2 linked regions of the Mus musculus genome follow. The protein of the gene in region 1 interacts with the protein of each later gene in a pairwise test. Links are inferred from orthologs where the notes say so. Each region holds a gene or a part of one and is shown on either strand. Other genes may lie near its edges.

Region 1 (3,908 bases):
CAGTAGGTTTAGAATTATTTCAAAATAAAAAGTTAAAGGAGCCAGGGCTACACAGAGAAACCCTGTCTCGAAAACAAACAAACAAAGTTAAAGGAAACAAAAGAAGTGCATGGACTGGAGCAAGTAAGGACAACAACAGCTTTCAATAGCAAAGAAAGCTGAGAGACGGTCAGATATAAGTGTGTAGAAAGAAAACTTCCAGACCTCAAAATCTATAAGCAGTGAAATCAACTCTTCAATAATGTAAGATGGCATACATCATTAAAGCGAATTATCAAGTGTTTCTCTCCTTCAGAAGGAAAGTCCACAAGGAAGAACAGATATTTAAGAAGGAAAGCGGGAGGAGTAAGAAAGAAAATGTTGCCAGGTGGTGGGGGGCAGAGGCAGGAGGATCTCTGAGTTCCAGGCCAGCCTGGTGTACAGAGTTCCAAGACAGACAAGGCTACTCAGAGAAATCTTGTCTCAAAAAATAAATACATAAATGGAAGGAAGGAAGGAAGGAAGGAAGGAAGGAAGGAAGGAAGGAAGGAAAGATAACATTTTAAATTTAGCCATTGCAACACTGGTTCTCAACCTTCGTTATAATGCAACCATTTAATACAGTTTCTCATGTTGTGGATTACTCTCAACCATAAAATTATTTTGTTTCTACTTTTTAACTGTAATTTTGCTGCTGTTATATTGTTATGAATTGTAATGTAAATGTCTGATATACAGGCTATGTGATATATGACCCCAAAGGGGTTGTGACCTACAGGTTGAGAACCACTAAGCTAGAAGGAAAGCAATCGAGGGATCCTAAGAACTGACCTTAGAACATACAAGAATAGCAGGCTGTGGTGAACATGTTTAATCCTAACACTGGGCAGACTGAGGCAGGCAGATCTATGTGATTTGTGAATTCTAGGACAGCCTGTTGTGACATAGTGAGTTCCAGGATAGTCAAGACTACATAGAGAGACCCTGTCTCAAAATTAAAACAAGATTCAAACCCACACCTTTCTTTAGTCATGAAAATGGTGACATCACCACATCTCAATGAACTGCCTGTGGAAAATTACTAGAGAGGAAAGGAAATTATGCCTCCAGACGACACTTTGAGAATGGCTGCTGCTCTCATCTTTCTGTCATACCCTAAAGCTGGGCTTCCTGAGTTTGCTTTTCTCGGCAATGTCGGGGTCACAGAGGCAATCCACATGTTCTATTTAGGAAGGTTACCAGGGGACAAGCTGGCATTCATATGCTTCCGGCAAGGATCCGCAAGGCGCCGCTAGAGGACATGAGGCTAGAAAGGCAGCAGCGCGCCTCGCCCTACCCCGCCCTCCGGGTTTGCGCCATGGGTGTCACGAGAGAGCCCGGAAGAGGGCAGTGTCTGGAACAGAGGGCGGTGCTTCGGCGGGCTTTCATCCTTACTGGTCGCGATCTCTCCGGCTCCCCGTCCAGGGAGGAGCTTCTGCGGACTTAAAAGGCACCGTCTTGCCACTTCTTAGCTGCGCAGTTTCCCCGAAGTAAGTTTGCCAGTTTTCTGTCTTATACTGAGGTTCGCCGGGTCATGGTGCCAGCCTGACTGAGAAGAGGACGCTCCCGGGAAACGAATGAGGAACCACCTCCTCCTGCTGTTCAAGTACAGGGGCCTGGTGCGCAAAGGGAAGAAAAGCAAAAGACGAAAATGGCTAAATTTAAGATCCGTCCAGCCACTGCCTCTGACTGCAGTGACATCCTGCGACTGATCAAGGTAGGTAAAAGTCCGGGCTCTCCCTAGGGCAGAGGGTAGGGGAGGCTCTGTTGACCGGGGAAATCCTCATCTGCAGTTCTGAGACGCAGCCAGGCCAGTAAATTCCGCCTTCTTGGCCTGCCAACCCCAGCCCGGGTCAGGCTCGGCTGTTCGGCGCCAGGCAGGACTCAGTCACCGCTCTACCCTGCCTGCCCCATTTCTCTTCCCGTGAGCTGGCTAGGCTGGCCAGGAGTTTCATTGTCCTTTTCTTTATATGTCGTCCCCAGGAACTGGCTAAATATGAATACATGGAAGATCAAGTCATTTTAACTGAGAAAGGTAACAAGGCGTGGCGGGGGAGGGGGAGGGGCGGGTAATATCTGTTTCCTGGCACCTCCAAAGGTCAACTCTCACTGTCTCTGCCTCCCCTGTCTTACAGATCTCCAAGAGGATGGCTTTGGAGAACACCCCTTCTACCACTGCCTGGTTGCAGAAGTGCCTAAAGAGCACTGGACCCCTGAAGGTAACCCCTGATCCCTGTCGAGAAGCCAGAGAGAACTAATGTTATATCAAACCCGTAGAGCCTACTGGGCAGAACCCGTGACTACGCGGGCAGAGGTTACTGAGGAGCTGGCTGGAAATAACAACCAGCCAGTGTGCAAATGACTGAGGAAAAAAAATATATGTGTAGTGTACTTTCTAATAGGGCGGGTTATGAGAGAGCTGTTTGAGCAAGTATCAAAGTTCTGTAGAAACCCGGAAAAGTTAGTTATAATGTCATTTGTTGTAATTCCGTTTCATAAAATGGTTTTTGTTTGACCCTAACCTAACTTTTTTTTTTTTTGTAATTGTGTTAAATCACATTTTTTTCTTTAATTTGTCCCAATCTTCAGGTTACAGTCTCTAGCTTCGCCATGTACATGGCCCTTCTGTGTACATGGATGGGCGGGGAGGTAACTAAAAGACCCTTTACACAATAAAGTAGATGATCATGATAAATGAGGTAAGGTCCTATTATCGCACACTTAAAACACAGTAGATCAGAAATTTATTTTCGCTTCCTGTCTGTCTGCAAAGAAATACAAAATGGCTAGAAAATTTAATTTGCAACCATTGCCTCTAATTTGCAACCTTTGCCTCCATTTGAAATTGAATTGACACTCCTTATGAGGTAGTCAGTTGTTAATTATTATTTTTAGTTATGTATTGACACCTTTTTTTTTTTTTTTTTTTTTTTTTTTTGCTGGCCCTTGTTGACTGGTCAGGAGACGGCTAAAAGGGGAAGTTGTTTGGGTGGGTGCTTTCTTGAGTTTTCTTCTGATGTTTGTTCCTTAGGCTCGAAGATAATCAGAACACGTAAGGGATGAACTAAGTTTTAGAAGTATGTGGGTGTTATGTAACACCTGTTTCTGGTTACTGCTATTTCTCCTGCCTTAAAGAGTGGGGGAAGTAAATTGAAAATTTATATGTGGGAGGGCAAGTTCTGAAAGTAAACATGGTTCTTTTGGTCTGGTCTTCTGACCTTAAGGAAGCAAGAGTTGGTAAACTGCAAGTATTTCCTCTTCTACACTGCTGTGTAAACCCAACTTTTGCCAAGCCAACATACCAGCATGTCATTAGGATGTGAATAATGTGTGTGTTTAGTTTAAGTCCCTGGCCCTTTTGTTCTGGCAAGTACTGAAAATGTTCTCATTTCCTAAGTGTGAGTCCTGCAGAGTACAGACTAGCCAGTCCACAAGTGTAGCCTAGCTTCAGCTATCTCTAATGTGTGCCTTTTGCAAGTACATGTCTGAGACCAGAGAGATCATTCATCATTGGTCTGGACTGTAGTAGCATAAACATAAGGAGGCAGTCCAGTTCCTGGCTACTTGTTTCAGTGGTGCACGCATATATATTTTCTTACAATCTACACTAGGCTTCTGATTCTACCAATACAGCTTGAATGGGTTGTTTTTCTTCTTTGCATCTCATGGGATACTCTGATTACAGGACATAGCATTGTTGGGTTCGCCATGTACTATTTTACCTATGACCCATGGATTGGCAAGTTGCTGTATCTTGAAGACTTCTTCGTGATGAGTGATTACAGAGGTACAGTTGACTTTGGGATTGGAGGTAGTTTAAGGAGAAATCAGAGCTCTTTGGCCTTAAAATGACTTAAGTAGAATTGTATTTCTTTCCTTTAGGCTTTGGT
Region 2 (3,908 bases), on another chromosome or scaffold:
CCAGGTCAGAAGAGCTCAGTATAGCTGGAACCACACTACCAGCTAAAGGTGGCTGACCTGAAGGGTGCCTTGGCTCTAGGTTTCAGGGGAAAGGGGAAAGAAATGGGTAAGGAGTGGAGTTCTGTTCAGCCATAGCCAAGAGATCTCCTGGTGCTCCAGTCCAGTCCCAGTGAACCCTGCCTAGGAAGCCATTTTTCAGCCCTAGGCCTAAGCAGCAGACATGTGAGTCTGGGTAGCAGCCCTCCCCATCACACACCACAAATAAGAGTCTGCATTTACAGCCATGAACACCCTGCACACTCCGACTCACAAGCAACCCAATTGCAACCATTTATCAATTGCAGCCCGTGGACGGGGAGCCCCAGGGCTTCCAGATAACTTATGGTGGCAATAGCCTCTTCTTTTCTGCTACTCAGCTCACAGTTTGGTTAACACAAGTTCAGGGAAACTGGGAAGCAAAATTGCTACAGCTCTAAGATAGAGAAGCAGAGATGAGGTGGGGGGGGCGGGGGGCGGGGGGGACGACAGAAAGCCCTTCCCAGCATACCAATCCTTTTAACGGACCCAATGGAGAGGCAGAGAAAGGTGTAATTGAGTGGAAGAGGGGCACAAAGAGCAAATAACATATACAGTTTTTTTTTCTTTTTCTGTCCAGCATCCCTCCTTAGACCTCGGGACTCAGAAAAGTTACCTGCCTCCCAAAGCAGAGCCAATTACAAGCAAGATCCACTCCACCAGCTTAGCCCCCAAGTGAAAAGCTCTGAATATCTATGTATATTTTAAAATTCACTTCATCCTACACTAAGTAGCGTGTCCTGCCAATTTGCAGCGCTATTCCCTTAATGTGATTGTCTGGGATGGGACCCGCAGCCTTTTCCTCTTTCATTAAATATGAAAGAGGAAACAAAAAAAAAAACTGTTAATAATTGAGCCTAGCCAAATGGCTGCCTTGCAATGATGGGCAACTCAGGCCTAGTCTGGGGCCATGGGGTGAGGGGTCTGTTTGGGTGTTTTCTGGAGCTTTGGGAGGAGCTGTTTTGGGGATATGAGCTCCTTAATAACTCAGCCTGGCAAGTTGGAGGTATGAGGGGACCACAAGGGTCACAGGGGAATAGTGTCTCTCCTTGCTTTTCAGAGGGCAAGCATGCCCCCAGAGGACCCATTGGCCTCTCTGTTGGTGGGGCATCCAATAGGGCGAGCAAGGACCAAACTATTTGCCCAGAGGAGGAAGAGGTGAGGAGTTGACCTGTCAGTTTGTCCCGTATTGTTTGGGACCAAGAGCGAGCCCCAAACCAGTTTGTCTTCCCCATCCTTAAAAACAAACCCCTAAAAGTAAGCCTCCTCTACTCTCAGCCAGCAGCAGTTTCCACTTGGGGTTTTATTTTAGCAAGGGTGCTTTTAGGAGTGGGAGGTGGTAAGAAACTCTCCACCAAGGGTAGAGTTCTCCGCCCCTGCGCAGTCCTCCCCCTCCCTCCCCCGGGGTCCCTTTGGGTGTCTTCTCCTCCATTCTAGAGGGAGGCCCTGTCTTTAGCAAGTGATGCCTAGACTCTCGGAGAGGTGAACTGCCCGGCCTAAGTGATCGGAAGCCCCGCGGAGATCAGCGTGCAACCGCAGGAGGAGAAACGGCCGTCCTGTCGAGGATGCCCTAGAAGGGCGGGGGACCCCCGGAGGGAAGGCTCCCGGGGAGGGGCCGGCGCACCGGGGAGGGGGCTCCGTCACCGCATCCTGGGCTTCCCCCGCCCCTCCCGGCGCCTGCTGCCGACCCGACGCGGCTACTGCGTGAGATCTGCTAGGAACAATCCTCCGCCAAGCTGTTGCATCGCAAATAAAATCCTAATGAGCCCCCTCCCCCTTCCCCTTGGCCGGCAGGGACGGTCTGCGCGTGGCGCAGGCGGCTCTGCCGAGTGCTCTTCGGCCCCGTGCCCGCGCGGGCTCCGGGCCGCGCTGGCCATCGGCCCGGCCTCCTACAGTTCTATCGCAGGTCCCTCTCCCTTTTTCCAGCCCGAGCCTGGGGAAGAATGAAGGACTAGAGAGACTTGGTCCCTGAGTCTCAGTCCCTGCGCCACAAGGAGGAGTGGGGGGTAGCCTCAGTGTCCCCCTCCTGGACACCCAGCTTTTTGCTTTGCCAGCCCCTTCCTTCCTCTTCCCTCCACCCACTCTAGCCCTGCGGCCCCAGGCGCTCTGTCCCTTTACATTGTCCGCTTTATGGCCTCTCCCCTCCCCTCCCCCGGGCCTGGCCTGCAGCCTGGGGGGGATTTCCTCACTTTTTTTTTTTTTTATAACTTACTTTGATCCGGCCTCTCTTTGTCCTCGCTTCCTTCGCAAATTTTATTGTCCCCGTAGCCAGCTCTTTGATTAGACAGGACAGCCTCCCTGCCCGCCGAAGTTTCCAAACTGTACTCGGGCGTGCCCTGTTTGAGCAGCTCCCCCGGCGCGCCCAGCAGCGGCTCCGCCTTCACGGCCGCCTGGCCCTGCCCCGGGGCGGCCTCGGCGCGCGGCGCCGGCTCTAGCCAGGTGCGGAGGTACCTGCTTTCGGCCGCCGGCGCGCCCTGGGGCTGCAGGTAGGGGTGGTAGACAGACGGCAGGCTCCCCGAGGCGTGCGGGCTCAGCGGCGCCCAGGAGGCGCCGAACACCGGCGCTTTGGGCTGGAAGCTGCACGAGGGGAAGTCCAGGTGCTCGGCGTGGCCCGGCTGCCGCGGGTTCGCGTACTGGCCCGAAGGAAACTTGGCTGGAGGCGCGTCCTCGCTCTCGTGACTTATGATCGAGTCGACATAATAGCTGCTAAGCGTCCCAGAAATGGACATTCTCAGACATTATCCGCGCGCTCGCAGGGGGAAGGGAAGCGCTCGCGCCGCGGCGCCCAAGCAGGGAAAAGGTGGCACACGGACCCGGTGCAGAGGGCTTTCGGACGCGACCCCCCCCAGACCCCCACCCTCCCACCCCCACCCCCTGCTCAACTTCTCAGCCAACAAAGTACAGTGGAGCAGCCCGGCTCGGAGCTCCTTGCAAAATGATTGGTCAAAGTTTTGCGGACTGCCTGATAAAGCGTCAGCTCCGACATAAATCAATCGGGCGAGGGGGCTGCGCTCGCGCTGTCATCCGTCCTCACCGCATTCCATATCCAGGATGGATTGTTTTATGCTGATGCAATGTGCTATCACGTCAGGGCTCCGGCGGCCACGTAACCTCAGCCTGAGCTGCCGGGCCGCCCGGGCCCCTCCCGCTTTTACAGGAAGGGGGGTTCTCAACATGGGGCGATGGGGGCGGAGGAGAGGCGGAGGCAAGCAGCGGGCTGCCTCAGGAGGGACGCAGGCTGAGGAGCCCTCTCCCCAGGCAGATTGGGGGGGGGGGGAGGACCAGCATACAGGGAGGGAGAGCGCCCCAGCCTCAGAGCTGCGGGAGAGGCCCGACAGGGTAATTAAAGAGGAGGTAGTCTTGTCGCCCCCCCCCAACACCTCCACCTCCACCCCGCGGGCCCTCATTTCCTGTCCTCTGTCCCCTTGACAGAGATGTTTATTAAACAACAGCAGTACAGCGACCCACAGGAGATGAAGTAAAAGGATGAGAAAGAAGTTGGGGCTTTTATAGGACAGTTATCCTCTTTGGAGGGGGTTCAGGGCACAATTTGGGGAGATTTACGTGACTAGGCTCTTCCCTTGATCCTTTAGCAGCTGAGAGAGGCGAAAGGGGACTAGTGTCCAAAGAATCATTATCTGTCTTGAAATTATAGCCTGCCTAAGGCCAAAGAGACACACCAGGCCCTGGAACTAGAGTTTCGGGAGACTAACCAGTCTTGTTTAACTCCTTAAAATTTTTCTTGGGCCTTTGTGAAAGGCTGGGTCCATGGTCATTTCTTGTCCTTCATCCAGGAATCTCTGAGACCCTTAAAAATGTCCAGATGAGAGGGC

What was found.
Region 2: the proteins of Sat1 (region 1) and Hoxb9 interact in binary tests that used the Homo sapiens proteins (3 or more experiments, as listed by UniProt). The two-hybrid records come from large-scale screens. The link is inferred for Mus musculus from reciprocal best matches to the Homo sapiens genes SAT1 and HOXB9.

What each region holds. Positions count from the first base shown.
Region 1 is NC_000086.7:155,213,930-155,217,837, reverse strand, and holds the start of Sat1 (diamine acetyltransferase 1), read left to right. Parts: upstream 1-1,388; 5' UTR 1,389-1,669; coding exon 1,670-1,735; intron 1,736-2,001; coding exon 2,002-2,053; intron 2,054-2,153; coding exon 2,154-2,237; intron 2,238-2,607; exon of another isoform or gene 2,608-3,703; coding exon 3,704-3,805; intron 3,806-3,900; coding exon 3,901-3,908. UniProt on the Homo sapiens protein: Enzyme which catalyzes the acetylation of polyamines. Substrate specificity: norspermidine = spermidine >> spermine > N(1)-acetylspermine. This highly regulated enzyme allows a fine attenuation of the intracellular concentration of polyamines.
Region 2 is NC_000077.6:96,270,438-96,274,345, reverse strand, and holds the start of Hoxb9 (homeobox protein Hox-B9), read right to left. Parts: upstream 3,017-3,908; 5' UTR 2,805-3,016; coding exon 2,288-2,804; intron 1-2,287. UniProt on the Homo sapiens protein: Sequence-specific transcription factor which is part of a developmental regulatory system that provides cells with specific positional identities on the anterior-posterior axis.